Linked DNA regions of Coturnix japonica. The protein of the gene in region 1 interacts with the protein of each later gene in a pairwise test. Links are inferred from orthologs where the notes say so. Each region holds a gene or a part of one and is shown in the gene's direction. Other genes may lie near its edges.

Region 1 (3,500 bases):
GACAGAACCCTGTCAGTTGAGATCTCAGAGTGTGTCACTCTGCACATTAAGGTCTTCAAATTAACAGTGCTACATGCTTCTAAGATGTGATTGGCTCCTTTGAAATCAGAATGAACGTTCACTGATATGATAAAAGATGGTAGTGGTTTATTATGCCAAGTACAGCTGGGAGAACTTCTGGGTTCTGCAGAGTCTGATTAGTTTTGACTGCTAAATAATGAATAATTGGGAAAAATCTGATTCTTCAGGCCTGTAGTGATTATACATCAGCATATGCAAAGCGGTTGTTAATCAGGAGATTAGGTGTCAGCCTGTTTAGAAGGTCAGTCACGAGAACTGAAATGAAGATAACATGTACCTGCTAATTAAGAATGTACGCACATCGTAACTCTTGGGATCTTGCTGCTCTCTGTTTACCACATCATCTTTAGTCACAGTCTTGTGTCAGATGTGGCACTTTTTGATCTAAATAACGTGATGTCCCACATCTGTTTCATGTGGGTGCGACATGAAAATGACCAAGGTGCCAGAAGAGTGGGCAGTTGTGTGAGGACATCAGCCCTATCTGCTCGGTTGGGCCAGGCTGCATGGCTGCCTTGTTTCCAAGTGACTGCTTGGAAGTTGTCACTGCGTCCCTGCCTCCCTGCCAGCTTGGATGCAGCCATCTTTGTGCAGAGGTGTTTCTTTGCAGCCCCTTTTGGCTGCTGTTGTGTTTGAACACTGCACCTCCAGCAGCACTGGGTGTCACACAGCACAGGTAACTGGAGGTGTTTCAGGCTGCTTTCCCTATCCCAGGGAAATACCTGCCAAAAGCAGAAGCAGAATCAACCCAACACAGAAGTGACCCTTAGAGGATTATAGGCCAAAGCTTTGCAGAGCATTCCCCAGTCTGTCTTTGATTTGCTTTGACCATAACGCAGATTTTAATTCTAGTAGATTATTTCCATTGTTACTTGTATTCAGACTCAAAGCAAACCTTATTACTTTAATTCTTGCTTTAGTGTGAAGAGCAGAGAAGGAACTGGGTAAACCAAGCAGTAAAGGGGAAGGAGGGAGGGAGAGATCAAGATGAAACAGCAATTAATATTCTGATCAGTAGAAACGGTTCTGGGTTTGTGTATGGAAGTATGTAAATACAAAAGCTAATCATCTTGTTTGGATAACTCTTCAGAACACTCTGGTCTGGACTTCTGAGAAATTACTCATCTTGACTGACCTGGAGACAAACGTGACATTGCAATACTCTTGTTGAACTTCTGTCAGTTGGTCCTCAGAGAATTAGTCACGTTTACAACCTTCCTCTAAATAACCAACTTTGAGACGAACCATGTGGCAGCAGATGAGCTTTAAACAGAAGCTGCATAAACTGAAGTTGTTTGTTTTAAAGAAAACAGTATTTTTGTGGGGTCATATGCCCATAGGAGATTTGGTAGCATGATGTTCAGCTACAATTGGAGCATCCTACAAACTAGAGGTCTTGGGGTGCTTTCCTTTCTCCCAAGAGACAGAAGCCTACTTCTGGGTGCTCCACCCCAAGAGCAGGAGGTAGCAAGCACTGGAAATGTGGCACCCCGGGAGCTCCAGAGATGCTTGATGGGGTTTCCAAATTAGATCCTTCATAATGACCCACACACAAGCAGATAGGACTCCCTCTAGAACCAGCTTCTAAGACCTGCTCCTACAGGTCTTTAATCTAGAGAGAGGACAGATTTCTTTTGTATTCTGGGTATATTCCTATAGCTTTCAGGCTATTCCTATGCTTCCCTTCAGCTGGGTCAATGATAGAAAAGAATCACCTGTACACAGAATCAGTAAAGCCAATACCAGGTAAACATGGAGCACCTGAAAACAATGAGACTCTGCAGGGAACATGACTGTTGTGCAGAAGCGTTCTGAGCTTATTTTGGGTTAATTGCTTTTATACCTCCTGTTCCTAGAGTGAGAGTTTGAGCTGGTTTCCCAACCCAAGTGCTGTTACTCTATGTACTTGCTTGTGCCTTTTTATTCTCTGTGTACCGGCACACTAGGATTTTATCTCTCCAAGTGGTGACTCATCCCTTTTTTCAAGCTACCTTACGTCTGCTGTGTTTGTTATACACAGGTGGGCTCTGTAATGCTGTTATTCTCCACCCTCACCAGCCTGAGCTGCAGTATACTCCTTGTTACAGCACTAATTGTGGTGTGTCTCTCTTGCAGCAGGCACATTGCTGGTCTGCTCTGCTGCGTGCAGGAGAACGCAAGAAGTGAACAGCGATTGCATTACCATAGGTCAGGTCATTACTTGCGGCCAGATTTAGGGCAGACAGAAAGATTTTTTTGAGCATTAACACTAAATTTTCAAGTTTTAGGTAGTTGGCAGTAAGCTTGTATGACCTGAACTGGTACTACTTCTTCGTGTTAATGCAACTGCTGTGGAGGGAAATCCAAACTGAGCTTAAACGGGATCTATGTTTGGTGACTCCTCCCTGCTCAGCTTCTTCTGAGTCATTGCAGCAGAGTGATGGGATTCACCCTGTGCTTTCTCTTAGGCCAGTGAGCGGCATGTCCACTTTGTGGTATCACGGCAGACCAGGCAGCAGCCCCCTGACATCTTGCAGGAGACAGGATGGAGTTACAACAGCAGCAGCCCCCAGCCCTGTCCTGCTGAGAGGATCAATGCCAGTAAGGTGAGCCCATATCTGCTCTGCTGTCCTTGGGAAAAGGGACCTCAGGGTGGCTGACATCTGGGGGTCTTGTGGTAGCCTTTCTGGATCCTGTCACCAGTAGTGTCATGTCTAACTCTGCAATTGAAATGTAAAACTGTGCTCCTTATCATTTGTGCTCTAGGAAGTGTGTTTTTGCTCACTTGGTTTGGGGTGAGAAGGGGAAGAGAAGGTGAAGGGGGTTGGTGAGGCAGCAGTGTGATGGGCATGGAGCTGGTTTTGTTGTTAGTTTCATTTTCTGTGAAGTCTCAATCCCAGCTCTTGGTAAGGATCAACAGGAGTTAATCATGGAGCAGTCAATTCCTGGTAGCCACTAGCCAGAGGTAGTAGTGCCCAACTAATCATGTGTCTGCAAAACATTACTAATGAAGTAATGCTTTCCTTAAGGAGATATGAGTAAGACAGCAATTATCTCATGTTGCTGGTATATGATTTTTAGTGATGCTCAGAGCACCTGCTAGCTCTACCATGGAGATCTGATTAATTGGTACCATGTGAGACTGTGCTGTTTGTTTTTCATACACTGCCCTTAGATCCCCATTTTCTCTTCCTATACCGAGGTATTAGACAAAAACTGGTACATTTGACATTATGTATTAGACAAAAACTGGTAAATTCAACATTATGTGGGGGATCTATGAACTCAGCAGGCCAGCGCTGACCTTGCATCTGTCCTTCTAAGGCTAAAAATATCATCTTTTGTTGAACAGACCATAGCTTGTGAGTGGATTTCCAGTTGGCCCCAAGAGATGCGTGCTCCACTGGGGCATGAGTGGGCTGCTGTGGGCTTCTGCCTGG
Region 2 (3,937 bases), on another chromosome or scaffold:
TGTTTCTAAGTCCCAAAATTGCCAAAGGATAAGATAAAAATCATTGTTTACACATGATATACTGAATGAACTTTTCTACTGTGCAATATATATATATATACAGCTCTCTTCAGAGTAACTGTGAACGTTTTTTTTTTAGCCTACACTACTTAACTAGTTTTAAAGATAAAGTATTTATAAGTACAACTGTATAGCTTTTCTTAAGTTATTTTTTTAGTATGTTGCTTATCGATAGCATTGGTAATAATGAGCTGACATGCTCAGCGCTCATGGCAAGTTTGTGTACAGTTTTATAGGGGTTTTTCTACTACATCCTCAAACTGGAAATAGGTTCTTCTCTTCCTCCCATCTTCCTACCCCCCTCTCCTATGGTTTACACCTGGTTTGTATTTCACCACCTTTTGCAAAGAGTTCCTGTGGCTGTCAATTCTCAGCTGTGTTTTAGCTCCTCCTCCTGCTTTCAGCTGTAACACCATGAGAAGGCCCAGCAGCGTTTTGTATCTCATTGCCTGCTTTGTACAGGGCAATTAAATAAGGGAACTGCCAAAATAAGGGTACCTTCCAAAAGGTGCTTATGATTGAAGTGTGTACAATGTAATTAATATGCAATTAAAGAAAATATTATACAGATTCTTCTTGTCTTGGGGCTTTTCTTTTCCTTCCCCTTAGTCATTTGTATGCACCAATGCTCTGACACCAGAAGGAGGAGGGCTGTTGTGTTATGTCAAGAACTGAACATCACCATATAAGAAAACACACGTGTGGCACGTATGTTTGGTAAAGAGCACTATGGGTGTATTTGAATAAATGCTCCTGTTTTGCTGTGCTGGAGAGACAGTCCCACCTACAGTCCCACTTTGGTGCCACCGCTGCCCTGTGGTGACGTCAGAAGCGCGGTGACAAGCTGACGTGTGGTGATGACATCACGCCGGAGGGCCGAGACCGCGCCTGGATTGGTTGAGCCTGCCCGCTCCCACTGCGGTCCTTCCCCGCTGCCCTGCCTTATATAGCGCCAGCTCTGTCCCGCCTCCAGCCTGCCATTGGCTGAGCATCGCGGTATGGGCTCGCGATTGGTCAGAGTTGCTGTCCGTCAGCGCGCTGAGGCCTGGCGCGGCCTGCGCGGAGCACCGGGAGGCCATTGTGGCTGTGGCGGCCCTGCGCGCCGGAGGAGCTGCAGGCGGCGGCGGAGGTGGCTGCGCGGCTCGCGAGCGCCGCGCCCCGTCCCGCTGGAGCCTGACCGGGAGAGAGACGGTGAGGGAGGCCGCGAGGAGGGCGGTGCGGGCGGCGGGGCCGGAGCCGGAGCTCCCCGATCTGAGCCGAGCCCCCCGGCCCTGTGCCGAGAGGACTCCCTGGCTCTTCCCGCGGGCCCCGCCCGCCGAGGCGCAGCCGGGGTTGGGCCGGGCTTCCCCGCGTGTCGCTGACCCGGGCCCGGCCCTGCGGAGCGGGGAAGGAGGCGGAGGGGCCGAGCTGGGGGCCCCTTCCTTCTTGTCGGCCGTGCAGTGCCCCTCGCCCTTCCCGTGCCGCATCGCTGCCCCTGCCCTCAGCGCCCCGTGCCGGCCCTGGCAGCGCTCGGTGCTGGCGGGGCGGGGGCCGCGCTGTGCTGCTCCGCGACGGAAACCGCACGAGTGAAGGAATCCCGTGAGCTCGCTGGGCTCTACGGCTGCTCCGTGATTTCACAGCGCAATAATTGCACGGCACACACACGTTTGAACTTTTCCCCTCCGTCTCCCGGCCGAGGTGCAGCCAGTATTTGCTTTCGGCGTTTGTTTAGCAGCTAAATGACAGCGGGGCTGGTGGCTGTCGGTGTGATCTGCTCACTAATAGCTTCGGCCGGTTAAAGACAGAGGTGCTTCTCAGAGAACTGAGCGGATAAAGCCAGTATTGGTTAATTTGCAGAGTACGTTTGTAAAGGTGAATATTCAGTGTGGTTTCCCTATCTTTTCATACTCCGTGTGTGTGTGTGTGCTCCGTGGGTTCTTTCTGTCTCCAGTGCAGTTTAGCCTGAAGTTCAGTTTCTTGATGTTCATCGTGATAACATTTCTGTATCCAAAACAGCGCAGGGAATGTTCCTAGCTGTTCCAACCTGTTTGCTTCAGAAGCTTTTGACGTGGAAAATATCCAGGGAATGGATCTGGTTAATAATAAGTTGCCATTTTAATAGGTGCCTTTTGCAGAGGTGACTGGTGCAGTGTGTACATACACTGTAGTGCGGTTGCTTCCAACCCCTAAATACTTCCTTGCTGCAGTTCTGTATGACAGCTGATACATTCATTGGGGGTAGGTTTGGTGTGTCTGTTTTCCTCTTTTTGATTGTTTTACTCTGCATGAACTGAGGCTGAACACCACTTTTGTAAGCGCTTGTGATCTCTATGCATAGAGTAAAATCAGCTTTGTGCTTTTTAGTTTTTCTGGTTGTATGAGCCCATTATTAAAACAGACACAGAAACCTGCACCCAATTTATCTGCCTCTCATGCGTGCTCAAAAATAGGAAAATTATCTTGAAGCACCGTAATTGAGTGCCCTTATCAATATGCAGAAGTATGTTTGCTGACTGTCCCATGAATGAATGACTCCCATGTCTGGCACTGCTCCTGTCTGCTGCAGCTCGGAAGCCATGAATGAAAATGTGCATTTCCTACATGGAAGTAATGCCAACTTCTCAAAGGATTCCTGCATGGGAGATGTGTGGGATGCATTATGTACCTGCTAAGGGGAGCAATGAATCAGATGGTCTCGGGTAGCAGTGTAACAGTTGGGGTTTAATAAACTTACTTGTCAGATGTACTTTTCCCTGTTGATGGGCAACCTTATTCAGTGGGTTTAGCCCCCAAATAGACACTGAGACTTAAATTATGTCAATACTTACAGTCTCGTGGCATTTAGTTTTGCATTAGTTTGTATATCTGAAGTAACCTGAGTCCTAACCAAGCAGCGTGCAGCCCATAGCATAGGGCTCAGAGAGGGGCTTGGTGCTCAGCACAGTGAGCTCCAGAGGATGTCAGAATACATAGAGCTTGTGTGTTGTGATTCACAAATCCCTCTTTGGGTCTTATCTAAAGAGCTTATCCTGGTCTTTAAACTGTTTTTCCAAGTGATGACTTTGTACAGATGAGATTTCTTACAGTGAGGTTTCTTTGGATCAGGATCACTTCCTTTTCCCTCTGCTTCTTTCTTTCAATGATCTTCATTAACCCATAAAGGAGTACCAGCATAGATCCCACATAACTAACAGGCCTAATTTGATTTCCAGAGTAATCCACATCTGCACTGTTTTCCCCCTCTTTAAGCCCTTTTCAGAGAGAGAATCTTGGCCTTTTCCTTAGTCTTGTCTTTCCAGCTGTGTCTGTGTTCCAGCATTTGGAGATATACAGAAAATACCAGGGCTGATCGGGGGTTGTTAATCAAAAACTGTGGTGCATCAGTGTCTATAGCTCTGGAATGATAAAAGACAGGAAGAGTGGGTTCATTCCTTACTGTCTAATAGCAGCTAGAGATGACCAGATTGAGTATTTACTTGAGAGAGGCCCATATTCTAATTCCTGAAGCTGCTAGAAGCTGCTCATGTAGCCCTGTGCCCTTCCAGGATGTGCTTCTGAGTTGCTGTCGAGGCTCTTCTGCTTTGCATGGGCTCTCCACTGTTCTGTAGACTGGTGAAGAGGGAGAGAATAACTGCTCTCTCTTTAGCTACAAGTGATGTAGCACAGCTGGGTGGTTAGGCCAGCTGCTTATAGGGGAGGTGATCTGCTTTCATTTCCTGTTTCGGGGAACTCTTGGCTTTGTAGTTTAGTCTGGGCTGTAATGGCATTACCTATTATGTTGCATGTGAAATTATGTGTGTCCACTACCTCAGTCTCAGGTGTAATTACCTACATCTAATTAATTACAGACAGATTTTAGTGTAGCACCAACATCTAGAGAGGGAGAGCCCATAACTTC
Region 3 (3,989 bases), on another chromosome or scaffold:
CAAAGCCCAGCACAGGGACCTGGATCCCTGCTGAGTTCCAGCCAGGCCTGAAATACAGGCTGTCCCACTGCTCGGGACTTCCTGGGCACCTCCCAACACGAGGCAGGATCCCACCCTTCCTCATGGCAGCCCAGAGGCACACGGGCACCCCAGGCCTGAGGGGAACGAGAAGGAGAGTCCTGCTGGCAATAGCAGGACATGGGGAAATGGTTTTAAGTTAAAAGAGGGAAGATTTAAGTTGGATGTCAGGGGGAAGTTCTTCACTAGGAGAGTGGTTAGGCCCTGGAACAGGCTGCCCAGGGAGGTTGTGGATGCCCCGTCCTTGGAGGTGTTCAAGGCCTGGTTGGACGGGGCCATGGGCAACCTGATCTATGGGGTCTCTATGGGGATCTATGGGGTCTCCTGGGCAACCTGATGTAATAAATGTGTATGTTTGGTGGCCCTGCCAGGCAGGGGGTTGGAACTACATGATCCTTGAGGTCCCTTCCAACCCGGGTCATTCTGTGATTCTGAGAGCTGCTGTTAAGTATCTCAGCAGCCACAAGGAGAAAAGGGGCAAAAGTGTGAGAGGAAAAGAGAGGAAGGACCCCGGGTCCCATCAGCCCTGAGGGGATGGAGCAGTGAGGGGCAGTGAGAGCCGGGTGGGGGCTGCAGGAAGGGCCGGGGCTGCAGGGAGGAGCTTATGGAGATGGGGGGGATCGGGGCCGGGCGGAATCAAGGCGAGGGGAACCCGGACAGCGGGGAGCAGAGGGGAAGGAAGGGAAGGAAGGGAGGGAAGCAGGGAAGGCCTGAGGCCCAGCGGGGCCCTGTGGGCGCCGGACACGGTCCCTCACCTGCATGACGACCTCCACCTCGTACGCGTTGCCTTTACTGCGCTGCTGCCCGCGGAACTTGGCCCCGCTGTACAGCAGGGATGTGGCCACTCCGGGCTGCGCCGTGTTGATGGGAGGCGGCGGCACCAAACTGCTGGCGGCCGCTCCGGACGGAGCCGATGATGCCGGTCCCGCCGCTCCGCCCGCTCGGCCCCGCTCGCTGCGCACCGGCATCTCGGGGGGGTCCCCGGGCGCCAGCGTGGCCGGGGCTCAGCGGCCGCCACCGGGGCCGCGCTCCGCTCCGCTCCCCTCACGCCCAGGCCGCCGCCGCCGCCGCCTGGCTCGGGGCCTCCCGGCAACGCCCCCGCGCTCTCCCATTGGCCCTCGCGAAGCGGCGAGAAGGCGGGGCGGAGCTCCGATTGGCGGAGAGCTCTCCTTCCCGGCAGGTTTTACGGTGAGGAGGCTGCTGGGAAATGTAGTTTGTTCGCCTCGCGCCTCACGCGACGGGAAGGCCGAAGGGGCAAAGCGCGTTCTGTGCTCCCATTGGGCGGAGCGGGGCAACATGGCGGCGCCCGGGGCGACAAGCTGAGCCGGGGGAGGCCGCTCCGAGCCGGGGTAGGCCGCAACGCTCCAGCTCCGTTCGCCGCCCCTCATCGTTCCTCTCGGCTCCTCATCGTTCTCTTCGGCTCCTCCGCCGCCATGTGCCGCCTCCTGCAGGCCCTGGGCCGCATCCCGGCTGTGGCAGCCCGGAGCCGCCCGCTGTGTCCGGGTGGGAGTCGAACATACGCCCCTCCCGCAGGTGAGGAGCTGTGGGCCCCGCGGGGAGGAGCCCGGAGCCCCGTGTGAGAGCGGGGGAACGCGGGGGGTGTCGGTGTGTGTGTGTGTGGGGGGGGATTAGTGGGAGCCCCCTCCTCAAGGTCAGCTCTTGCTGGCTGGGGGAGGGGTTGGGTTCCGGCCTTCAGAATGGGCTGAAGAAAGGAGGAAGAGGGAAAATGGGCTCCGAGGTGGGTAAGGAGGTGGTGGGGCGTCACTGCGCTGCTTTTCCATCAGTGGGTTTGAAGGTTCCCTTTGGTTGCGGGTGGGATGGCGGGGAGCTCCACCAGCCCCTCCCAGGCACGTGCTGGGCTGTGCAGCCCCTCTACAGATATTGCTGGAAACACGAGGATGGGAGTCAGGGTTTCATTGAGTATCATGAGGCCAATGGGAACACGCTGAGGTGCCTGAATCCTCCCAGAGCTGTGCTCCAGCACTGCAGCATTTCCTGAGGCCCTGAAGCTTGTAGGAGGCTGAGTGGATCCCCATCCTTCTCTCTGCTGGGCCCGTGTTGGCAGGGCACAGTTCAGTGACAGCCAGGAGGTGGATTCAATGGGCTCAGCATTTACGAGCTGGTTGTAATTGTCAAGGGAATCTTCTGGGTGAGACGTGTGGGCTGCGGTGAGCTGAGGACAGTGGTTCCTCCCCAGTGACTCAGCTGCCACGTGCAACGTGTCTGACACATGATCCAGTTGCTGCTGCACATAGGGTTCATGGTTCCTCCAAGTGGTGTCTGCAAGAAATCTGCTCCTATGGGTGGTCAGGAGATCTGGGGCATTGCTGTGGATGTCACCAGTATTGTGACACCTCCCAGGTTGAATAGAACTCACTGGAATGGAGAGGGGCTTGAATGAGTGGGATTTTGTGGCTGTTCTGTGGGCTGCAGCAGCTCTGAGGGCTCCCTGTGTTCTGACAAACCTCCCCTTGCCACCCTTTCAATTGCTCTGTTTTCAACCCCCCAGAGAGGAAGCGGTTTTACCAGAACGTGAGCATCTCACAAGGAGAAGGTGAGTGGAGCTGCTGGGGCAGGCGAGGGCTGGTACTCACACGGGGGTTACCATCACAAGGCAGTGCTGTGTCTGCAGCCCCTGTTGTGAGCTGGGCTGTCTGTCACCCACATGCTCTGCCCTTGTCCTCATCCATAGTAAAACCATGTGGTGGGAAAGTTTCCAGCATCATCTGGGGAAGAGCAATGTCAAAACATTGATGTTGGTGGGAAAATTGCTGATTCCTTGCTCCCTTCAGCTCCAGCTCTGAGCTTGTTCCCTCTATGGGGTAGTCTGTTGTTCCTTAGTGCCTGCTCCTCTTTAATTCCCCAGGATTTCTACTCTGATTCCCCAGGAGGCTTTGAAATCAACCTGGACCACCGGAAGCTGAAAACACCCCAGGCCAAGCTCTTCACTGTCCCCAGTGAGGCCTTGGCCATTGCAGTGGCAACAGAATGGGACTCTCAGAAAGACACCATCAAGTTCTACACTATGCACCTGGTGAGCACAGCAGGTCAGAGTGCTGAAGCACAAAAATGGTCTCCAGAGGCAGAACACAGAGAGAGACCAGGCTGTCCTAATGTCAATTGAAGTGGGAACAGGAGTTCAGTGCCTTGGCTGAGTACTGTGGATAACTTAAGGCTGAGCAGGCAGCTGGATGCTGGCTACAGGACTGGGAGGGAAACCCGTGTCACTGGGGAGTTTGAGAAGGGGATGGAGAGCATTTCTGGGGATAGCAAGGGGTATGAACAGGTTGGATAGACTCTATTATATGAGCCATGTTCTGACTCTATGTTTCCCTCTTAAGTAAGCTCCTTGATTCTTGCAGTCTGTCCCAAATTCTTCTGCTTATCTTGACCTAGTACACTGGAAACTGCTGCTTCCTTGAGCTTTAGATAACAGTGATTTCAGTTGCCTTTATCCTGCAGACCACACTGTGCAACACAGCTCTGGACAATCCCACTCAGCGAAACAAGGTGCAGCTGATCCGTGCAGCTGTGAAGTTCCTGGAGACTGACACTGTCTGGTAAGGGACTGCGGGATGCACTGGCACAGAGGTGGGGTTGTCTTGTTGTAGAGTGGTTGAGAGAACTGAGGGAAAATGTCTGTTCTAACCAAGTCATTGCAGGGCTCTGCTCTGTCCTGGCTTTGGCCCAGGGGTTTGAATTAGTTTAGACGAGTCCTATGTCCACCAACCTAGTGGAACTCCATGCATTTAAAGGGCATAGATACAAAGAACAGGGACCTGTTTCTTTGTTGAAATCTGTTTGGAGATGTCCATGTTGGACAGGGAGCAGGAGCAGCAAGAAATGTAGTGGGAAAAGCAAAGAAAGGCTTGGGAGAATGTCAGCTCAGTCCCCTGGCACTCCAGTAGCAT
Region 4 (3,500 bases), on another chromosome or scaffold:
GGCTGTTTTTAGTCAGTGTACCTGCCTTGTCTGTTGCACTGCACCGCTTGGCAGAAAAGCAATGAAAAATAAAGCAACAAAACTTCTAGAGAGAGTATGATTTGAAATAATGATTTGTGTATTAATGCATGGAGTTTATTATAAATTATTGATCCACCTTGTTTTGAAGGCTGATAAAATGTGATGGATTGGGATGGCTGACTATGTGTTTTTAAGGGCTCGTCTTATATGAACAATCTTTGAGACACAAGTGGAAAGAATAAGCTTGTGTCTTCGTCTGTTTTGCTGGAACTTGAAATGTAGTAAGCTTATTTTTTTGTTTCCTTCAGGTTTTGAATGAAGAATGTGATCAGAATTGGTACAAGGCAGAACTCAATGGAAAAGATGGCTTCATTCCCAAGAACTACATAGAAATGAAACCACATCCGTAAGTAGAGCCTTGGTGGTAGTGCCTGTGTTTGGTTGGTTTTAAGCATAGATAAATTGACCTTTTCTGAAGACATTTAAACTGCTGATGGCATCTGGATCATGTGTCAGCAGTGCTGGAAGTCTTCATTAGTGCATTAGCAACCTGAGGAAATTACAAAAAGTTTGTATACTATCGTGTTTACTGAGCAATAATGAAGAGCTCTCTAAGTAGTCCAGCAGGGCATACAAAAACAAACTTCAGCCAGCTGACCAGGTGTAAGAAAGAGAGCATTCCTTTTCTTAGAGCTGGTGTCAGTGTTGTTGGAAGGAGGTGTAAGTATTTTTTCAAGAGAATTTAGAAGGAAAGTAATTGAAAATGCCTTTATATGTTAAGGATTTCACTCTTACTGCATTTCTGCTTCCCTAAATTAGATGAAATAGGGCTATTGTGAGCATGTGCTCATGAAATCATGGTAGCTTCACTGCTAGGACAAAATGTGAGAAGTTGCATAGTTTGGTAGCCTGTAGTAGATTAACAATAAATAGATGCAGTTCAGTCATTTCTGCTAGAATTCATCTGATCTCCGTGGGGATACCTGTGTTGGGCTCTTCCATAAGACAGTTCAACTCCTTAACTTTCTCTGTTTTCTTCTTGCTTACTCCACAGGTGGTTCTTCGGAAAGATTCCCCGAGCGAAGGCTGAAGAGATGTTAGGCAAACAGAGACACGATGGTGCCTTCCTTATCAGGGAGAGCGAGAGTGCTCCTGGGGACTTCTCTCTCTCGGTCAAGTAAGTAGTGCCCAGAAATAATCGTGTGGAAATCAGGGCACTTGATGCTCATTTTGACTCCTGGATAGATAAGTGATTATCAGTGCTGAGGAGCGGCAATAATCAAGATAGCATACCTATTCTTCTGGTGATAATGTATTTTTGTCTTTATTAAAGAGGAAGTACAGATAAGCTCTGTTTTGTAATGAGCCTACATGGCTGACTTGGTGGTGTGTTGCTGTCTGACTTAAGTGTTTTCAGGCACTATTTGTTAATTTGTGGATCCCATTTCTCCTTCCTCCAACTATGAACTGCCCAGTTTGTACATACTGCTTTCCATCCTCCTTTGTTCCTCTTCCATAGAACAAGTCATTATTCTCTTCTGTCTTTGGATAATACACTTCCAAATATTTTTCATGACTGCTTGGCACATGCTTTGGGGATATTCATCTTAGCCAGCACTGGGACATGGAGCTAATGAAAACAAATTCTTTTCCATTTCTCAAATGCATTCCATTAATGGAATTTCAATATAGAGGAATTTCTTTCTGTCTAGTAACATTGAAGGTAGGCAGGAACAGTTCCCATCCTTGTATAACATTTCTAGAAATGCTAACTTTTAATCAGCAGCAATTTCTGATAGTTAACATGTGAGCCATGTTTAACCATCTCACAGCTCTGTATAAGCCGCCATAAATTGAAGTATTAAAAAGTTGGAAGAGTATGGGATGTAAGGTAGCATAGGAAGGAAGGAATTCCATCCTCAGCAGCTGATTTTTATCTTTCTTAACTTTCTGTAACCTTCCCCTTTCCTTCCAGAAATGAACAGGGTTTTCTTTAGTATCTTATATTGATTATTCACGCACAGTTCCTTGTTTGCTGTATTTTTGGCTCATCTTTGGGCTGTACCCAGATTTTGTCATCCTGTACACCAGTCTTGATCCAGCCAACAAACTGAATTAAAACCACTCTTTTTAGAAAGGTGTTTATAGTTCTGCTGGGTACAATAATCTGAGCTGGAATACAAGATACGAATGGGAGCTCCATTGCAGACATCAACTTCCTTCATGAAACTTGGTTTTGACTGTAGCTCTGCTTATCTTGTCAGCTTAGTGTTGCCACCTGGTGGTAGTTTGGTTTTTTTTTTTCCTGGTGGATTAATTTAGAAAAAGCTTTCTTCCACTCACCCCCAAACAGTGATTTGCAAGATTTGAAATGATGAGAATCTCTCAGGTTGAAGAGGAAACAGCAAAGGCAGTACTCACTGATTGTTTCATGTTAACGTTGTAGCCAAGACTATGCCTGCACTTTAAGCTCTTGATGCCAGGTGGAGAATGTACTCCTCACCCATTTTCAGTGTTTTTGTTTCAGAATAAAGTAAAAATGCTAACGTGCTGTTCATCTGGAAAAACTTTGGAGTTGCACTTTACGTAGAATAAAAGTTGAATGCCATCACATGTCAAAATATAGAAGTGGAAAAGTCTGTCTGTTTTGCAATACATCATTTTTTTTTTGTAACTCCATGCTTAGAGACAGTCCTGCCGTACTTGTGGCAGTTCTTTTCCCAGCACTTTTTGTATGTTTTCAAGGGTCTGCTTCACAGCAGCCAATTGATACCTGCAATCATTGTCACCAGCTATGTCCCGAATGATTTTTGTGTTGTAAAGTCTCACAATCCTAGAAGAGTGCTCAGTGACTGTGTTCTTCTCTGTATTGTTTGCTCATTTCCCACAGGTTTGGAAATGATGTGCAGCACTTCAAGGTGCTTAGAGATGGGGCTGGCAAGTATTTCCTCTGGGTGGTGAAGTTCAATTCTTTGAACGAGCTGGTAGATTATCACAGATCCACATCTGTCTCCAGGAACCAGCAAATATTTCTACGAGATATTGAACAGGTGCCACAGGTAAGAGAACTGTTTGTTCAGAGCATATTTAAACTAATGCAACCATGGGTTGCATCTGGGATTGTATCTTGATGGTGATGGAGAAAAGCTGACTTTTTACCTGTAGGAGTTTATTTTTGGATCTTGCTGCCAGAGTTGTACTGGAAAATAATCTGGATGTTTGTGCACAGCCTACCTGCTAAAACTTAGTATCCATTTCTGGTGGTGTTACTGTTGCTGCCTGAACATTTGGCTTGTGTTAATGTTTTTGGGTACTGTTGAAATAAGATAATCCAATTCCTGTGAATTAAGAAGGTGTTTACTCCTGTTTTAGGACACAGTAAGAAAGCACAGTTATGTACTGGTTCATAGCCAGAACTGTCCCGTCCCGTCCATCCCCCCCCCCCCCAAAAGCAGTGAAATTTTGGTAGTAGTCTTGCC
Region 5 (3,415 bases), on another chromosome or scaffold:
GACGGACACGGACAGACACAGACACACACGGACACACACGGACACACACGGACACACACGGATAGACACCGACAGACACACGGACACAACCGACACGCGGTTCCCGCAGCTCCGGCCGCCGCCGCCCCGGAGCCCAACGGCCGCGCTGGGGCTGCCGGCCCCGGGCTGAGTCAGTGCCGCCAACCGAGCGCCCGGCAGCGCCAAGTGCGGACACGGCCGCAGCCCCGCCGTCTCGTACCGTACCGATCCCGCCCCGCCCGGTCCCGCCGCTCTCACCCATCGCGGATCCCGACACGGACGTTCCGGCGGCGGCCACAATATGGCGGCGGCAGCGGGAGGGCGGGGAGCGGCGGACGGCGGCCGAGAGGGACCGCGGCGGGACGAGAGCGGAGAGCAACGCCCCGAACGGGGTCACGGGGCGGGGCCGGGCTTCAACTCGCGGCCGCGGGTCCCGCGTGGATCCTCGTGTCCCGCCACGTGCCCACGCGCCGACACGACCCCCCCCATTGCACCCCCCAGCCCCGAGCTCCGTCCCGGGCCGAGCTGAGCCGGGAGCGGCGGCCCCGGGAGCCCACGGGACGCGTTGGGCCGCACGGCCGGACACACAAGGAGCAGCAGGCGGGGATCGCGTTAGGATGGGCCTTTCTTTACAAAGTGCATAAACATCACGGGCCGCTCAGGTGCTGCGGGGCCGGCAGTTCCCTCCCATGGCGATGAACACGTTGATGGGGATGTGCGGCAGCGTCAGGCGGTGGTTGGCGGGACAGCGCCGCAACTGCCTGCGGGGAGACAGGGGTCAGAGGGACGGCACAGCACGGCACAGTACGGCATAGTACAGTACAGTACAGCACAGTACAGCACAGCACAGTACAGCACAGTACAGTACAGCACAGTACAGCACAACCTGCAGCATCACAGGAGCCCCTTTGGACCCTCACCTGCCCGCAGTCCACGCTGTGCCCACCCGTTGCTGTGTCTCCAAAGCTGCGGCCGCACTACAACAGTCGCCCGCCTCGATGGGGAACCTCCGGGCCCGCGGCGCTTCCTGGGAGCTCATGGCCCGGCCCGGTTTTCTCTGCACAGGGAGAAGCAGCTGGGAGCTGCAGCGGGGCCTGGCTGCGATCCCGGCACCGGCACCTTCCTGCTGTGAAGGAGCCCGGCCTGGTTGGGCTGCAGGCGCCGGAGCAGCTGGACACACTCAGCTCAGACGTGAGGCCGCGGTGGGTCGGTGTGAGCACAGCTCTGAGCTCATGGGCGCAGCCTGGGGTCCCCTCCCTGCAGCAGCAAAGTGTTGTGTGAGCAGCAGCTCCTAAAGCCCCCCCGCCACACCCCGATGAAAACGGGAGAGGAACAGAATGGACCCTGTGACCCCCCTGTACTCACGGTGCCCACCGAGCAGGTCCTGCCCAGCACAGCCCAATTCCCCCCTGCCTGGCCGAGCTGTCGCCCACTTTGATGCACCTCCGTCATCTGGGATTCATGCAGCATCGGCTGCATCACAATAACACGCCCATGCTACAACAGGCGCCTCGATGCCCCTTCCCACCAGGGCAGGAGCAGGGCCTGGTGGCTCTACACGTGCCAACAGGGAGCACGGGGAGCCCCTGGCTGCTGCGATGCTGTTGTCGAGTTGCTGGGGGTAAAACTGAGATTGAACGGCCCCGATTTGTGAGAGGACATGGAGGAGTTTTTGCTCGCCAGCGGATACCAGCTCGGCCAAACCATTGGGGAGGGAACGTACTCCAAGGTGAAGGAGGCCTTTTCCCAAAAGCACCAGAAGAAAGTAGCAATTAAAATCATTGATAAAAGGGCGAGTCCAGAAGGTAAGAAGTTGCCCCTGAAGAGCTCCCAGGTACCGACCCCTCCTTGGAAGCTTTTAGTTCCAGGCAGAAAATGAGTTTCCCAAACTTTCCACCCAAGAGCAGGAAGGGCAGGGAGGTGCTGGGGGCAGGGAGGTGCTGGGGGCAGCTCGGAGCAGCCAGGCCATGGGGTGTCCATCCGGCTCCTCCAGCCATAAGGTGGCCAAAAGCAGCACAGCTCAGACCCCTCCGACAAGGGCCCTGCTTGGAGCCAGGCACCCTGGCACAACCCTTCTTCCTTCCCACTTTGTGGCCGCAGCCCGGTGCGATGCCGGGGCTCAGCAGCTCAGGAACTGAGTGAATTTTCCCCCTCTTGGCAGAGTTCATTCAGAAGTTCCTGCCCCGGGAGCTCCAAATCATCGAGCGCCTGGACCACAAGAACATCATCCACGTGTACGAGGTGCTGGAGTCGGCGGAGGGGAATATCTGCCTCGTGATGGAGCTGGCCGAGAACGGGGACATCTTCGACTACGTGGCACACAGGGGTCCCCTGCCCGAGCCCTGCGCCAGGGAGCTGTTCTGCCAGCTGGTGGAGGCGCTGCGCTACTGCCACGGCTGCGGGGTGGCTCATCGCGACCTCAAATGCGAGAACGCGCTGCTGCAGGGACACACCGTGAAGCTGACGGACTTCAGCTTCGCCAAGCAGCTCCCCGTGGGCAGCCGAGAGCTGAGCAGAACCTTCTGCGGCAGCGTGGCCTACGCGGCCCCCGAGGTGCTGCAGGGGGTGCCCCACGACAGCTGCAAGGGCGACATCTGGAGCCTGGGCGTCATCCTCTACGTCCTGCTGTGCGCCCACCTGCCCTTCGACGACACCAACATCCCGCAGATGCTGTGCCAGCAGCAGAAAGGCGTCTCCCTGCCCAGGCACCTGGAGGTCTCCAGGCCGTGCCAGGACCTCCTGAAGAGGCTCCTGGAGCCAGACATGGTGCTGCGGCCGTCGGTGGAGCGGCTCAGCAGACACCCCTGGTTGGCCGGACCCTGAGGAGCGCTCGGCTGCTCCCCCCCGGGGACAGATTGCTTCGAGGATGCCAATAAATTTGGATGTGTTTCCCACGTGTTCGGCCTCACGTGTGCTGCCAAGGCAGAGCTGAGGGCTGCTTCACTTTAGGCCATTTTTACCTGCCCCCTCCCAACCCCCGGCCTTCAGCAGGGAACAGAACAGACCAAGCAGCCCCATGTTCCCACCCCCTGTAGGCAAACTTCCCTTGGGATGAGGGGGAGGAAAGCAGAAACATAAAGCAGTTGATCCCCTTGAGGCAGCTGCCCCCAGCCCAGGGCAGGGGAAAAGGAAGGAGGACACAGTGGTGAGTGCGGAATTCCTTTAATTGCTGTTAACTGCAAGTCTGTAAAAGGTTTGGAGAAAGTTACAAAACTACAGATGTTAGAATTGTTCCTGGTTTTCCACCCCAGCTACAAAAGGCTCCGGAATAAACAGAGAATATTGCACAGACAACCAGACGGTCAGTGGGACTAAAGAAAAACAGGAGACATGAGAGCAGCGCGGCCCAGAGCTCCACATCCAGCCTGGGTCACCCTGAGCCCAGGGAGCGCAGTGC
Region 6 (3,500 bases), on another chromosome or scaffold:
TTAATTGAATTATATCTCAACAGAAGATAGAAAGAAAAGTACTCAGTTGATGCTTTTCTTGTCAAGTTATTAAAAATAAGTCACGTTTGGCCAGACTTTGAAAAGGGAACAGGCATAAATAGTTCAGATGTTAATTGATTTTGACACCAGGGAATGTCGGTGTTTTTAATTCCATAGGTGCACTGAGATCCAGGTGAAGCACAGGTGGAAGGAAATAATACAGATTTAATGGAACATTTTGATGGGTATTTCTTCCTGTGTTTTCTTCTTTTTTAATAGCTATTACAGCACCACCACGCAGTTCATGAGATATCGTACATTGCAAAGGATATCACAGACCACCGAGCGTTCGGGTATGTGTGTGGAAAGGAGGGAAATCATCGATTTGTGGCAATAAAAACAGCCCAGGCAGTAAGTATCAAATCATTGTCATTTTCTTCATCGTAGTTCATAGAGTCATATCACAGGATCATAAAATGGTCTGGGTTGAAAAGGACCACAGTGATCATCTCGTTTCAGCCCCCTGCTATGTGCACCAACCTCCAGACCAGGCTGCCCAGAGCCACATCCAGCCTGGCCTTGAATGCCTGCAGGGATGGGGCATCCACAGCCTCCTTGGGCAACCTGTTCCAGTGTGAAAAGCTTCCTCCTAATATCTAACCTAAACCTCCCCTGTCTCAGTTTAAAACCATTCCCCCTTGTCCTGCCACTACCCACCGTTGTAAACAGCCATTCCCCCTCCTATTTATACGCTCCCTGCAACTACTGGAAGGCCACAATGAGGTCCCCCAGTAGCCTTCTCTAAGCACAGCAAGGCCAGTTCCCTCAACCTTTCTTCATAGGAGAGATGCTCCAGCCCTCTGATCATCTTAGTGGCCTCCTCTAGACCTGTTCCAAGAGCTCGGTTTAAGGGCTGTGTTCATAACAAGCTGTTCAGGAGGCCCATCTTGTATTCTTTCTGTGTTTGGGGTTTGTTTAAATGTTCTTAAATGGCAAATTAATGAAATCATCTTGGGGGAAAAAAAGGAAGAAAAAAAGAAAAAAGAAAGAAAAATGGAATATACTTCACTATTTACAATTATTCTTGATGTGATTTTTTTCCTACTATTTGGTTACTATTTTACTTTCCTCCATAGAAACCTTTCACAATCCTCTTGTTTCCATAGGCTGAACCTGTGATTCTGGACTTGCGAGATCTGTTTCAGCTCATCTATGAACTGAAACAAAGGGAAGAAATGGAAAAAAAGGCACAAAAGGACAAGCAGTGTGAACAGGCAGTATACCAGGTACATGCATAAGCTTAGACTACTGCCAAGGAAAAGGCAGTTTGAAGTATCCCCCAGAATTGCTCCAAAGAGGCACTAACAGCTATTGTGAGCTCAGAAGTAGGATTAAAAGGTGATGAAAGAGGTCACCTGGGGTAAGATGAGCGTGATTGGCAGCTTGAAATGTCCTGCTCCTTTCCAAGACAGAGTTACTTCTAGTTGAAGGGGAAAGCTTTAATGAAGGCCACTGTGTTGCAAGTTGGGTTTTTAACAGCGTCTTGTAGGGGTGATTCATTAAACTTCTGAATGTGTGCATTTGAGTCAAATCAAATAAGGTGCAGGTTGCTAAACTCTCATGAAACAAGAATAGTGTTACTTTGTAGAATAACTTGACTTTATCTGCATAATAAAGAAAGAGAATTATATACTTACCTGCACGTTTTGCTTAGTTCTTTGCTGTCCTTTAGTTTCTGAATGCAGTTCTTTTATCTCTGCTGTTTATGTTCTTTGCTTTTACTGCCTGTCCTCTTACTTTGCTGTAGACAATTTTGGAAGAAGATGTAGAAGACCCTGTATACCAGGTAATTTCTGAAGCTGCACGGCCTGGGAGTTTCAGAAATGACTTAGATAGATGTTATCTTCAAACACAGCCAGAGCCTTTCACAAAGTGTTTTGAAATGTATTGAGATAGATCTCATGAGAGACTTCACTTTACAGCAAGTAGCACGTTCAGGAATTAAGCTGTAATAGCACAGCATTTCTGCATAGAAATATTAGATTGAATATATCTTAAAATATACTTTCTGAGTTGAGATTTGAAGTTTCCCACTGAGATTTGTCATTATTTCCTTATTTTATTCTTTTTTAAGACGCAATCTAACAGAAAAGGGAGCTACTTTGAAAATAAGGAAGATGACACCTTGTTTTTATAGCAATAAATTGATGTCTTGTTGTTGGCTTCGATGCAGCCAGAATTTCATTCAGAGGGCGAATATTTGTTAAAAAGAAACACGGAGGAATTAATGTTATAATGTACTCCCTTGTTGGCATTTTGGGTTATGATTTAATAATACATCTGTAGTTTAAGTCCTGTTCCATCCAAGCAAAATGCCTGGGAGTAAAGATAATGATCAGAAATATGTCAATATATTCATGTCTAATATCTTGCTGAGTCTGAAGAAGAAAAAGATGTAATTTCATTCTCGTGTTTTTGTGCTGAGATTTGTGTTTTGTGGAGATTTTGTGTTCTTCCACTTAAAAATACCAGTTGGAGGCACACTGAAAGAAACCAATTCAAGCATTAGTGACTATTGAGCACTGTCTAAGGTGTTTCAAGGAAGATGAGAGGAATTAGGATGCCCTAAATTAAATTCAGCTTTTGTAATGTCAGGAGTTTTACTTTGTATGGTGGTTCCTCACAATAAAACAAGAACCTGAAGATGAAATGCACTGTGGCTGCCTTTCACTGTGTGGTATGTTGCACAAGCTCCAGCCTGTTCACCCAGTTTGCATTTAGCTTTTTTATTCATAGATAATAAATACGTGTGGAAATAATTGCCATTATATAAAGGAGGCAAAATGCACGATGACTTCAGAAAATTAATATCAGACCACAGGCGGTATCCCTAGTGAGAAAGAATTAGGAAGCTGCTCTAATGATCATTAGAGGAGATTTAGGTCTATTCTCTGCCGGTTTATGAAATATGAAACAACCTTACTCTGTGCTTTCCAACAAACCAGTTGTCTGGTTCCATCCAGCCTTTACTTTGAACTTGTTTCTTTAATGCCTGCCTGTGTTTTTATGTGGAATTCCAAATTGCCTTTTTCCCTCTGTTTCATCTTTGACTTTTCCTCTCTGGCTGCTGGTGTAATAGTACATTGTGTTTGAGGCTGGACATGAACCAATCCGTGAGCCTGAAACAGAAGAAAACATTTATCAGGTATAAAATCACTGCTTCCGTGTTTTCATTGCAACAATTGCAAGCATTTAGTAAAACACATTTCATATATAATTCGCTTTTATTCGTTTTCATGCATCACAAACAGTGTCTGACATTTCATTCTTACGACCTTACATGATTAATCTGCCAGTCTCTGTGTATTTATTTGTTTGTCTGTTCAGCTTCTGCAGGTTTTATGAACTTTTATCTGTAAGTTTAGCCAAATTGTGAAGGGTTGAGCACACCATATAAAGTGATCATTGGTAGATCCTCTTTTCTCCTTTTAATTCTTCGA
Region 7 (3,500 bases), on another chromosome or scaffold:
CTTTTCTATCTGACAGTAATGCAGGTACCAAAACAAGCAATTTAGTCATTGCTGTCTAAGCAGTGCTCAAAGCGGTAGGAAGGGACCTTTACATATCTAGTTCCTACCCTATTGGAACACCTTGCACTAAACCAGATTGCTCAAAGTTCATGTTCTTATGCTTGGGAGCCGGCGCTGGAGAGAATATTGCAGTTAGGATCTCATAACTGCAGGAAGAAAAGGGGCAGAATCGCTTCCTTCAGCCTTTTGGCCACACTTCCCATTTATTCTTTGGAAACTCATTGATCACACCATCTCAGTGAGAATGGAAAATAAATGAGCAGCATTTGAGGAGTGCATTAAAACTAAGAGATGGAAATAATACTGGCAAAGATCTTGCTATTGTGGAATAGTGGAACAAACCTATTTCTAAAGATGTTACCTTTGAGAAAAGAAGCTTTCCATTTTATCTTATTTATTTCTCTTTTTGTTTCCCACATAAAACTGGCGCACTTGGGGAAAACTGAAAGCTTTCTGCCTTGTATTAACATTCTTGTATATGAGAAGGAGCTGCTGAGTCCTTTTCTGAGTTACTAGGCTTCTAGTGTTGATAAGCAAATTGATAACATTCTGACATTTAGCAACAAGTTTGTTTGAAGTGTGTCAGAAAAGTATAAAATTCTAGGCTTTTTAGCTGCTGCTGTCTAAACGTGGACAGTAAGCATAAATGCATCCAAAGAAAATCTAACACCTACATTAAAATGTTTAAAATGATAAAGTAAAAAAAAAAAAAAAAATAGAAAACCCACCTTTTTCTGTTCTTTTTAGGAGGAGGAATTGAGAAAAAGCGGAGAGGCAAAATACTTCCACCTAAATGATGACCTTCATGTTTTAATTGAAGTTTTTGCTCCACCAGCAGAAGCATATGCCAGAATGGGGCATGCGTTAGAAGAAATCAAGAAGTTTCTCATCCCTGTTAGTATTTATTTCTATATTTCCTTCTTTGACTTTGATCAAAGTAATAAAATGGTGCAGAATAATCAGTTCATAAGGTAATTCATCTTGATGTTCATTGAAGTTATTATTCTCATATCTTGATAATCCCAGGAAAATAGTTTTTAATGTACAAGGCAATTCTTCTGTGTAGGAAGTTGCTACACAGAATTCAGAGAAATCAGTTTTATTGAATGAGCATGCTTTGGTTTCTATATTTGTTCAAGGTGTATTGATTTCACTTCTCTTTTTATATGGTGCTGATAAGGTTGCTAAATTTTGTTCCTGAATAGTATAAGATCTTTGAAATGTGGGAGATTTAGGTAAGAAGACTTTTCAAAAGTGCATGTCTGGGAGTGACAGTAGTACAGATATTTGTGTTTAGTCAGTGTAGTGAAGAACCAGTTTGATGCCTGTTCTGTATGGCCACTACAGCCTGAGTGGAGCTGCAAGTTCTGCTCTAGAGTGAAGCAACTGGACCTGAGAACGCTACTATATATATACATATATATATACTATGTATATATATATATATAAATAACAAAAATATGTATAAGAGTTCCAAGTAGATTTTTTTACATATATTTTTACCTCTTTTCATATACTTCTGTTCAGACAAACAAACTGATGATGTAAGGGAAAACCAGCAGAACATTTGTAGGAATGCTGAGTCGTTTTAATGTAGCAGGTTACTATATTTACATGATTCAAATTTGTGTGGAGGCTTAAGTGTCTTCTCAGTAAGATATAAGGAGCTTGTCTGCTTTTGTGGGCAAACAGCTGTTTTTAGATGAAAATGCCCATGATTTGATAAGAAACGCCTTTTGAATTCAGAGTCTATGTCTGACTCCTGTGCAAATCTCATTTCTTCATTGATCTTAATTTACCTTATGTCATAATGAACATACTTAGCAAATTATAGTCCTTATTAACATTAAACCAGCAAAATTAGACTGATAATGAACAATTCTTTTTATTGATTAGACATTTCTACTCACATTTTGATCATTGCCTTGATTGTACTGAGCAGAACTGCATGATCTCTTGTGAAATATGAGATCACGACTTAATTTCCCTTTGGCTTTTCAAATGTAATCTTATCGCGGTTGTTCTAAAAGCCATAATCTCTTGTTCCCCAACTGCTTGCAGCATTATCCCTGTGAAGTTATAGGGACTGGCTTTGTCCCTTCTAGAAGTAATAAATATTGGGCTAACTGCTGCCAAATGCTATTTGATTTTATTTCCTGTATGATCTGCTGTGGCTTCTAGGCAAACTATCAGTTTTCTTCCAGAAAGAAGACCTGATTTCAGAATATGATTTCAGTTTTTGTTCTGAACAGTGCCAGCTGACTATGCATTCTTATATACTGATCCTGATTTATGGAAGTTTTTCAATTTCCAGATCAGATCTGAATATGCAATCACAGATGGTGGTAAAGTGTAAAATATGAAATATCCTTTCAGCTGAGTATGGTAAAATACTATGGGCCACTTTACTCTTTCTAGATCACGGTCAATCACTTTTACACTGAAGGTGAGCCTTCAACACCTGCAGCAGTATAACTTTTTCAGAATGACTGAAAGTAAGATATAAAAGCATTTGATGTTTTGGGTTTGGTTTTTTTTGGCTGTGCTCATCGAGTTGCCTTGACTCTTATCTGTCTTTTGGTATGTTCTCTTCCTTTCCTTTAAATTACTCAGTCGCTTTGTTCTTGTCAGACTTTATGGTCAATAGCATTTTCGATTGCTAGACTTGTAGGTGTTGTGCTTGATTCTAATCTACCCAGAATTCATTCTGGATTTCTGTTCAGTAGTTATCAGAGCAATACTTATTGCCTCTTCCTTGTGGTAGTGTGACTTTGTGACTTTGTTGGATCTTGGGCATTGGTTTTACAATGGAATATATATTTCAGACACTTCTTATATGCAGTTCTTGAAACAGTTCTGTTGATTCAGTCTTCCAGTTATTCCTCATCTTCTGCCAGCTGGTTTCTCATGCTATTTAGAGAATGATCTTAAAGGGGCAGTTGTGATTTAAATTTCAGATCCTATTATAAAACAGTAGCTAGACAAAATGTTTGTATAGTGCCACAGATTTCTCAGTTTAGTGGTTCATAAATGGCATGTAAAGGAAAACTTCTGTATTTTCTTTGCAGAAGTTTAAGGGAAGGAGAATGTTCCAAGGATAATTGAGATCTTTGAATTTACAGAAGTATTAATCTTCCTGTGCAGCATTGTTTCAGGAGTTCTCCAGTGAAAGGCTGTCTTATCGTCATTTGGTATCTGCATAGTACCTAATTGTAACAAAAATCAGATTTCTGGGGAGAGATGAAGCTCTTTTGATTTCAGAACTGAATTCTTAATAGCAGTAGTATTGAATTCTTGAATAGCAGTAGTATTTGTACAAGCCATCCTTCTTTGAAATGGAAAGATTTGCAGAAGAGTGATTTTTATCAGAAGTATCACTTCATTCTTAAAGTAGCTATACATATTTTTTATACTTACTGTATATGTATAGATGCTGAATA

What was found.
Region 2: the proteins of LNX1 (region 1) and MAPK9 interact in binary tests that used the Homo sapiens proteins (3 or more experiments, as listed by UniProt). The link is inferred for Coturnix japonica from reciprocal best matches to the Homo sapiens genes LNX1 and MAPK9.
Region 3: the proteins of LNX1 (region 1) and ATPAF2 interact in binary tests that used the Homo sapiens proteins (3 or more experiments, as listed by UniProt). The two-hybrid records come from large-scale screens. The link is inferred for Coturnix japonica from reciprocal best matches to the Homo sapiens genes LNX1 and ATPAF2.
Region 4: the proteins of LNX1 (region 1) and GRB2 interact in binary tests that used the Homo sapiens proteins (3 or more experiments, as listed by UniProt). The link is inferred for Coturnix japonica from reciprocal best matches to the Homo sapiens genes LNX1 and GRB2.
Region 5: the proteins of LNX1 (region 1) and TSSK3 interact in binary tests that used the Homo sapiens proteins (3 or more experiments, as listed by UniProt). The link is inferred for Coturnix japonica from reciprocal best matches to the Homo sapiens genes LNX1 and TSSK3.
Region 6: the proteins of LNX1 (region 1) and DAB1 interact in binary tests that used the Homo sapiens proteins (3 or more experiments, as listed by UniProt). The link is inferred for Coturnix japonica from reciprocal best matches to the Homo sapiens genes LNX1 and DAB1.
Region 7: the proteins of LNX1 (region 1) and KHDRBS3 interact in a two-hybrid assay, tested with the Homo sapiens proteins (2 studies listed by BioGRID and IntAct). The link is inferred for Coturnix japonica from reciprocal best matches to the Homo sapiens genes LNX1 and KHDRBS3.

Annotation. Positions count from the first base shown.
Region 1 is NC_029519.1:59,301,542-59,305,041, forward strand, and holds part of LNX1 (E3 ubiquitin-protein ligase LNX), read left to right. Parts: intron 1-2,528; coding exon 2,529-2,666; intron 2,667-3,500.
Region 2 is NC_029528.1:4,157,953-4,161,889, reverse strand, and holds the start of MAPK9 (mitogen-activated protein kinase 9), read left to right. Parts: upstream 1-1,137; 5' UTR 1,138-1,251; intron 1,252-1,486; exon of another isoform or gene 1,487-1,911; intron 1,912-3,937. UniProt on the Homo sapiens protein: Serine/threonine-protein kinase involved in various processes such as cell proliferation, differentiation, migration, transformation and programmed cell death.
Region 3 is NC_029529.1:5,012,479-5,016,467, reverse strand, and holds the start of ATPAF2 (ATP synthase mitochondrial F1 complex assembly factor 2), read left to right. Parts: upstream 1-1,189; 5' UTR 1,190-1,511; coding exon 1,512-1,611; intron 1,612-1,983; exon of another isoform or gene 1,984-2,308; coding exon of another isoform or gene 2,309-2,384; intron 2,385-2,587; coding exon 2,588-2,632; intron 2,633-2,966; coding exon 2,967-3,112; intron 3,113-3,540; coding exon 3,541-3,638; intron 3,639-3,989. Other genes in the region: GID4 (glucose-induced degradation protein 4 homolog), read right to left, coding at 834-1,046. UniProt on the Homo sapiens protein: Plays a role in the assembly of the F1 component of the mitochondrial ATP synthase (ATPase).
Region 4 is NC_029533.1:9,398,553-9,402,052, reverse strand, and holds part of GRB2 (growth factor receptor-bound protein 2), read left to right. Parts: intron 1-329; coding exon 330-427; intron 428-1,075; coding exon 1,076-1,198; intron 1,199-2,911; coding exon 2,912-3,080; intron 3,081-3,500. UniProt on the Homo sapiens protein: Non-enzymatic adapter protein that plays a pivotal role in precisely regulated signaling cascades from cell surface receptors to cellular responses, including signaling transduction and gene expression.
Region 5 is NC_029538.1:4,558,913-4,562,327, forward strand, and holds TSSK3 (testis-specific serine/threonine-protein kinase 3), read left to right. Parts: upstream 1-1,370; 5' UTR 1,371-1,383; coding exon of another isoform or gene 1,384-1,419; 5' UTR 1,420-1,420; coding exon of another isoform or gene 1,421-1,470; 5' UTR 1,471-1,586; coding exon of another isoform or gene 1,587-1,678; coding exon 1,679-1,823; intron 1,824-2,179; coding exon 2,180-2,841; 3' UTR 2,842-2,915; downstream 2,916-3,415. UniProt on the Homo sapiens protein: Serine/threonine protein kinase required for spermatid development and male fertility.
Region 6 is NC_029523.1:23,150,053-23,153,552, reverse strand, and holds part of DAB1 (disabled homolog 1), read left to right. Parts: intron 1-279; coding exon 280-411; intron 412-1,166; coding exon 1,167-1,286; intron 1,287-1,807; coding exon 1,808-1,846; intron 1,847-3,139; coding exon 3,140-3,205; intron 3,206-3,500. UniProt on the Homo sapiens protein: Signaling adapter of the reelin-mediated signaling pathway, which regulates the migration and differentiation of postmitotic neurons during brain development.
Region 7 is NC_029517.1:129,027,221-129,030,720, forward strand, and holds part of KHDRBS3 (KH domain-containing, RNA-binding, signal transduction-associated protein 3), read left to right. Parts: intron 1-807; coding exon 808-954; intron 955-3,500. UniProt on the Homo sapiens protein: RNA-binding protein that plays a role in the regulation of alternative splicing and influences mRNA splice site selection and exon inclusion. Binds preferentially to the 5'-[AU]UAAA-3' motif in vitro.